2 linked regions of the Drosophila melanogaster genome follow. The protein of the gene in region 1 purifies or fractionates together with the protein of each later gene. This does not show direct contact. Each region holds a gene or a part of one and is shown in the gene's direction. Other genes may lie near its edges.

Region 1 (3,287 bases):
GCACTCAAAGGCAACCAATAAAACTTGGTCAACTCTCAAGTGACGGAAAACGTGTTTGTCAAGGTTAAAGCGAGTCCGATTGCTCCTCGAACAACCAGCGAATAGGGGAAACTGCAGTCAAGGTCAGGCAGGACGGGATGGGTTGAATTGGCCGATCCGGTGCTCTCCACTGGTCTGGTTGGGGTTGGATGGCCAGGCAAACAAACGGACGCCAACGGGAAGCGGATGCCCAGACAAGGCAATTACCATAATTGCCGTACACACATGTGCGTACAAGAAGCAAGCTGCAAGCCGATGATATGCATGCATACATAAGTACAGCAGCTTTGGTTCGGTTGGTTGAAGGACACTCTTCGAAATGGAACCGGAAGGATTGGAATTGGGATTGGGATTGGGCGAGTGGAATGCCCCGCGGGAGTTGAATTGCAAATAGTTTCGCCATTAGTTGTCGTGCAATTTGCATGACCAGCATACCCACACTAATGAGCTATCCGAGACCCATTTGTCAACCTGTCGAAGTGGTTGTGGTATATTGACCCGATTCTCATACCGAACTTGGCATAATTCTCATTATATTCATTATTTGCATTATTTTCACGCCATTCCCGCTGTTCACACAGCTGTTGGCCATTTGGATGGGGGCCAGTTCTCTGGCAGACCATAAAGATTGGCTAGAACAAGAACCAAAGCTGGCTATTTTCGGATGCCGCGTTAGCCCTTGGCAACGGCATCAAAGGCCAAACTGATCGAATAACCAAAACACAAATATGCCGTCTCTTTATCGCTCGAAATTATTTATAGAGCAGCTGCTTTTGAGTGATAACAGAGGCTGGTCTAAAATTTGCATGATTCACAGACATAACAGTTGAAAAATATTGGATAAGCGTATTCATAAAATTCCCATTCTATTGCTTTATTTTTAGCCAGGAAGTCTGCTCTGCATTCAAATCAATGGGCCAACGTTGCGTATGAGTAACGTGCGTTCAAAGTTAGATAAGATTATTAATTTAAAGCGAATGTAACGTCAAAGATTTATGGTAATCTATGTTTGTTAAATCTTTATGAGCCCCAAATGCTTTTCTTGTGAATAACTGAGAAATAAATGGAATGTTAATCTTTCACAATAATTTTGGCCTTCAAATTTGCTAATTTCTCTAAAAAATACACCCAACGAAATGCGCAATATAATTGTGAAAAATTGACAACCGAATCGTGAATGTCAATGAAAATTCCAACGATTGATTTGTAGTATTCTAAATTTATGAATTGCTGGCAAATTAATTTCGCTAGGGAAAAAACCGATCCCCTTGCAGTCAGCTGACCCACAAATAATCTTTTGCTATAAATCGAGGGCGCGGTTTTTAAGTCAAGTGTTGCTATAAAAATCACGACGTTGATTGGAGGGCTTTATCGGTCAAGATAGCTCTACCCGAATTCCACCGTCTGGCTAATTACACATATCTAATCTGACGAAGTTCTTTTTCTGGCTACTGGCTACTGGTGTGATTAGGTTAAGTTTAATTACTATATAGTCATGTCGCCCCAGTCATGCGACCAGATATTTCTGCCTCGCATGGTGGCAATCTTTATGTTCAGCAAAAAATTTTATGTTTGCTGATCTCTTAATTGCCCAAAATGACTTGGGCTTGTTTTTGTATGCCAAGTTTTATGGGCATCATATTTATTTGCTAATAAAATGATTTAAGTTTATTGAACTAAAATATGTGTGCTATTATTAGACGACTATCTGAGAATCGTAGACAATAATTTAAGTAGGCATTGAGTTGCATATCCTAAGTTAAATATAATATAGACAAAATGATTGCCAAGCTGCGCAAGATTTATCCCAGTGGAAAGGTGGTTAGCCATTCCCTCGCTCCCTGCTCCACAGCGGATCTGAACAATGCTGAACTTGTTTCCAATGTCAAGGTAAGCTAATCAAAATCCTTTCGGTATCCAAGTCCGCTAAATTCCCTTCCAGAAAAGGCGAGCCGAATATCTCGTCGAACGAATGCAGCGACTGCTGCTCTTTCTGACCGTCTTCCTTCTGTTTCCCGTGGTGATCTTCGTCATCTTCAAGTTCTTGATTATGGAGCCGCTCTACGGAAACAGCGATGACAATGTGGGCATTGGATCCGGCGTAGCCACGGTAATTGTGATGCATGTCCTGGTCACGGGCTATATCCTGCGCCTGATCTTCCTTCAAGAGATTTCGAGCATGGAGAAGCTGGAGTGGGAAGTTCTGATGCCACCAAACACCCAAATTCATGGATCCGTGTTCATTGTCCTGCTGCTGATGTCCTACTGTTCCCTAATAATTGGCTTTCCCATAGCCACCTTTTTTGCCCTGAAATTTGTGGTGCTCAAGAGCTATGCCCATATCAATGCCGATATTATTTCGACCATTTGCACCGTAGTTGCAGTTCATGCAGCAGTTGGCTTTTACATCTACCGAGCCATCTATGCAAAGAGTGTGACGGCCAAAAGCGCCAAAATATCTCTGTAAAATAATTGTATCTCCACCTTTCGACTATCTTTGATATGCCAATACATCACAATACTTTCTTCTGTATATATCTTGAACACTTCCTGCTTTCATCATGTGGCTGACATATTTTTCGTGAAAATTGTATTCGTATTCGCCAATGCGAAAAAATGCTACCCACGCGATGATTTCTGTTTTGGTTGAAAGCAATATGAGTTGGAAGCGCATTTCAGCCGTCACTTGTCCATCCCGCGATTGGGACTTCTTGACGGCCACATGTCCAGGGATTTGTGTTTGTGGGACAAAGAACGAATGCAGCCTAAGTTTTTTCCGCATGGAAAGTTTACGGTAGTGACATGGCCAATGCCAACTTTAAACTGCACAACGTGATCTTATTTATTGCCCATATCGACCGATTTTTGTCAGCTGCCATGACTTTGTCTAAATATCTTTAAAGTCTTTGACGACATGGAAAGGCAACAGGTGAAACTCGTGATTTAAGTACAATACTTACCATTTTTTTTTTTTTTTTGAGCACATTCACAACTCCAGAAGGCAGAATTTCTTTGGTGACAGTTCCATTTTTCATCTGCCAGTAGGAATTAGTTCATTTTGATGTTAATGCAACGTGAGAAGGTGACACCCTCTTGTGATGGGCAATTAAATGCTTCGGTAGCAATAATAAATGTCGTTTTATTGCCACATTTATGCGATGCACACGCGGCGACACTAACAAGGCAAAGAAATATCAAAAACAAAGGCCGGGCGAGAAATTCACATGTTTATTTGTTCTAGTTGAATG
Region 2 (4,516 bases), 800 kb from region 1:
GAGCACGGGATCCAGGAGCTGCAAACATGCTGGTCCAAGTAGAAAAATACACAAAACTCTGCAGAGTATGATCGCGACCTCAGTGCTAACTGAGCCGGCAGCGGCGGGGCAGTCCTCTCAGCAGCATCAGTTGGCGTTGAAAGAGGCGCATGAGCAAGCCCTTGCGCTTGGCCCGCTCCCTGGATCAGGAACGCGATGATCCGCCCATGGAGCCGGACCCGGAGCCGCCGCCAGCCATGCGCCGCTTCTTTTTCTTCTTGGCCGTCAGACTCTCCTGGCCGCTGTCCGTGTTGGAATCGCCGCCATCGTCGCTCTCCTCCTCCTCCGAAGACGAGGAGCTGCTCGACGAGGAGGAGCTTGAATTGCTGGAGCTGTCCGATGCGAAGCCGGTGCTCTCGTTCAGGTTAATACTATCGGCGATCTGGGCCAGCTCCGGTCGCTGGTCTCGCAGCACGCGCAGCCACTTGCGTGACAACTTTGGCCGGCCGCGAACAGTCTTGTGCCAGACGCAGGGGAAGTTCGTCTGCGAACTGAAGTTCTGGGTGATGGCAATGGTGTCGTCCATGTTGAGCACCACGTGCCACCAGCCGCCGGGCACGAATACAGTCTCGCCTGCTCCCTGCAGCACTTCGATGGGGCGGTATTGCTCCGGCCAACTAGGCAGCTGGGTGCGCGGATATATGGTGCTGAACCAGGTGATGGCCTCGTCTCGCTGCTTGCCACCCATGGCACTGGTGACCTTGAGCAGCTCCTTGGGCGTTTGGGTGGGGAACAGGCACCAGCGCTTGTGGCCGCGGATCAGCGTGTTCCAGGCACTAGTGCCCAGTGGATCAATGTGGATGCCGGTGCCGGAGCGAGCCGGTCCCATGACAAACCAGCGGTAAGGCGGACGACGATTCTCGCCGCAGTACTGGAAGAGGTCGTCGCGAAAATACTTGGGCACCACATAGTCATCCAGGAGCTTGCGCCGACGATGGTGTTCGCCGAAGCTGCTGTCGAAGATGTACAGCGGGCTGTCATCGCGCGTGCTCTGCATGTACTCCACGTAGTACTTCATCTTCATCTTGACGCTATAGCCCTCGTTGTCCTCGCCGCACTTGAACTTCTGGTTGCGATACTTCTTGGCCAGGCGGGCTAGTGTCCACTTTTCCAGCGCCAACCAGCCATCGGTGCAGCCGCGAATGACCACCGGCTTGTAGGGTCGCTCGAAGCGTTCGATGAACTCCGACTCCGGCACCTGCGACTCCTCGATCCGCTCCAGGTTATCGGTGAAATCCCAAAATGGCTCGAACTTCTCACAGTACCGCATGGCCGACCAGGCATTCTCGCCGTCCAGCTCCGGACGAGCCTTGCGCTTCACCTCACGTGTGCGCTTGCGGGAACGCTTGGGCAGCTTGAATTCCTCGCTCATCCTGCTGAAATTGGCCAATTTTCCACAGCTCCTGGAAATTAAAGCAGCGTGAGTGCAGTGTGGCCAGACGCCGCAGGTTCGAACATGCTGAAAACGCGACGCGGGACCGCACCTGGTCACTCAGCTGGTCGCCAGACAAGCACTCCTTTACTGGTTTTATCAGATGTTTACCGAGTAAACGGACATTTTCAAAACATTTCATTATTAAAGAATTGTACACAGGTCCAGTATGAACCAGCCCATACATAAAAGAACCTAAATGGTAGTAGTGCGCTACTACCCCATGTTCCCCATGTTCCAAACTCAACCGTTCCCCCACCAACGCTCACTTAAATTTAACCCTCGCGAGTGTAAGTTGTATTTTCATTGAGAGCCAGGGCTGCAAGACTTTAAGGTGACCAGCGTTTGTTAGCCAAATTCAAAGTACAAAATAAATAAAATTAAAAATAAAACTATTGTGAGCAGGATCTTTCATACTATCTGTGCTAAAGCACAGGCCTCAAAAGCAATGCAAAAATTAATGGATAAATAACTTAAGATAACATCTTAAGTATATCATACGATATACGATAGTGGAAGCCCTGGTTCGCTACGATTTCTCATGTGACAGCTGTGGGCGAATGAAAATAATGATAAGCCAAGTCGGACGAGGTGGAGTTTTTGAAAAGCAGTGTAAAATCGTTAATAACCAGGTGCTACCAACTCTTCCAGAGCTCTACAAGGTGCCGCTTCGCATTCTAGACCATCGCGTGTTCGTAAACGGCGAGATCGAGGCCTTTCTTGAGAACTTCGAGGTGCGGCGCAACGACAGCGAAGTGGAGAAACTTTTCCAGGTCACCGAAACAGTGGGATCTCTGAAGTACGATCTGTCCCGGTGCAGTGCAACCGGAAGGGGTAGCGGAGCCGAGAACCTCGCCCAACTGGACACGGAAGTCAGCCATCTGCTGGACGGGGTCAACGCACTCTTGGCGAAAGCGAAGGTGGAACGAACTGTTAGTGGGCCAGCGTAATCTCCGCCTGTTTATCATTGATTAATTGGTCTTCCGTTCGAATTGCAGGCTAGCACCCAGTTGCAGGAGGCGCGACTGGCACGTGAGCAACGCCGGGCGGAGTTCCTAACCAATTTGGAGCACGGCTATCGCCGAATCGAGAACTCATTCGAGGAGAAGGAGGAGGAAATCGCAGAGCTTTACTCAGATTTGCAACTAAAGCTTAACATTGCCAAGTAGAAACTATGCTGAAGTCAACGATTGTTGATCCGCGGGTGCGCCTTGTGCCGTCAAAGAAGCTGCTTGACTTTCTGGACGCCCAAAAGAAGCACTTAAAGGAGTTGCCCGAAAATGTGGCCAAGATTATGAAGCAAAGAGGCCACACACTGCCCACCTCTATTAGGATTATCAAGGATGCGGGCTTGGAGTACAAACGACCAAAACTCAATTACGAGCTGTTGACAAAACTAACTGAAAACCTAGCCGACAAACCAGAAGAACCTGCTAAGGATAAATCGGAACCAGATTCAGGGGTCAAGGATAGTGATGACGCAAAGTCAACAAGGGAGGTTAAACATTTCCTATACTTAACCGACCTGCACTGGCTCTCAAAAACACTGGCTGAACTGCGTCGTCAGGATCACTGCCAAGTCTTTCTGCATCAGCTAATTGAGTCCTGTGATCTGCTCCTGCCCGAAAACGAAATGAAGCCGCGCAATCCTGAGCTAGAAGCGCGCTGCCAACGTCTTCGCGCAGAGCAACAAAATCGGGATTACCTCAAAATGACCAAGAATGTGGATGCCGGCTTAAAACACTATCCAGAGGACACTATCAGCTATCAGAGTAAGTGAATACGCCCAGCTTGTTAGATCCGCCCTTTTAAAACCTTTTTCTTCTTCCCTTCCCTTTCAGTTAAGAGCCTTAACAAGCAAATCATTGCCGTGGTGCAGTTCATCTTCTCCGTGGCCGCTGGCTTTACGTTCGGCTTTTTCGGCGTCAATTTGATGGTGGGCCCGCTGCCTTTCGGCTTTCGCATCTTGCTGGGCGTGATTGTAGCGCTCATCATAGCCCTGGCTGAGATGTACTTCCTGGCCAAGAAGCTGCACGAGTACGATGAGGTCTTGGACGCGCCCAAACGTAAGCCGCAGCCATCGACGCCGGCTAAGCGCACCCCGCCCGCCGAGGGAAGTCAAGTCCAGACATTGAAACCCCATGTTGACTAGATAGATGATCTGCGAGTAAAAATCGTTCTTTGTCGTTGTATTATTTCGCTTTGCAATGTTAGGTTATATAAATAGCTGTAAAAGTTTTATTCTTTCGGAATCGGGGACTTGGATATCGATTATATGCTACGTATGCTTATTTCGACCGTGAATGCACACCCTATTCGTAGTGGTTCGGCTGTGGATTGGGGTTATTCCAGCCCTCGTCCACGGCATCAGATCCTCCGCGACCCAGCCAGGCCATAAGATAGACGAACAAGACAAAGGCCAAAATGCCGGCGGTCACCAGGAACCAAGTGCGACGCCACGGCGGCCGCGAGGAGGGCGCATAGAAGCGGCGTGTCCATCGCGAGAACAATTCCGCAGGAGTGCGGCGCTGGTACTTATTATCGTCTCGATCTGTCCCACCAATTGGCGACTGACGGGGCAGCAGCGGTCTTCTGCTGCTGGCTGCAGGTGCGTAAGATTATAATTATAATATGACTCAAAGTGTATGCTAGATTATGCGCACCGTAGTCGCCCGCACTTGGGGGATTAAATGCATCCATTAGGAGCACGGAATGTGGGCTCACGGCGTCATGGCCATTGGGCTTCGTGCGCTCTCGCTCGCCACCGGAATGGATGTGGTGCACTTTGGTCATGTTGCTGACAGCCGCCTGGCTTGCCACCTTGGGCTTAATGGCCTTCAGACTGCTGCTCTGCTCCTCAGAGAGCTGGGAAAGATTCAACATTTAAATTGATTACAAGCTTACTGCCCGGAATGCTTACCAGGGCGAGTCCCAGGCCATTTCTGCCCCAGTTAACCTGCGACAGGAAACTCTTCAGAGCATCGGCCACCGGGGAGACCAGGTTGGCGTTGGGAAAGATCTCCACACTGCAGGCGGGGCACTGGT

The links.
Region 2: the proteins of CG13829 (region 1) and CG7071 purify together in Drosophila melanogaster (affinity purification with mass spectrometry, with the first as the bait; one large-scale study listed by BioGRID). This does not show direct contact.

The regions. Positions count from the first base shown.
Region 1 is NT_033777.3:23,159,850-23,163,136, reverse strand, and holds CG13829 (uncharacterized protein), read left to right. Parts: upstream 1-1,798; 5' UTR 1,799-1,818; coding exon 1,819-1,929; intron 1,930-1,981; coding exon 1,982-2,506; 3' UTR 2,507-2,660; downstream 2,661-3,287.
Region 2 is NT_033777.3:22,360,885-22,365,400, forward strand, and holds CG7071 (uncharacterized protein), read left to right. Parts: upstream 1-1,735; 5' UTR 1,736-2,031; coding exon of another isoform or gene 2,032-2,062; exon of another isoform or gene 2,063-2,122; coding exon of another isoform or gene 2,123-2,403; intron 2,404-2,469; coding exon of another isoform or gene 2,470-2,640; 5' UTR 2,641-2,645; coding exon 2,646-3,243; intron 3,244-3,312; coding exon 3,313-3,623; 3' UTR 3,624-3,696; downstream 3,697-4,516. Other genes in the region: JMJD6 (jumonji domain containing 6), read right to left, coding at 185-1,411; muted, read left to right, coding at 2,032-2,062, 2,123-2,403, 2,470-2,640; CG5382 (uncharacterized protein), read right to left, coding at 3,784-4,073, 4,135-4,336, 4,392-4,516.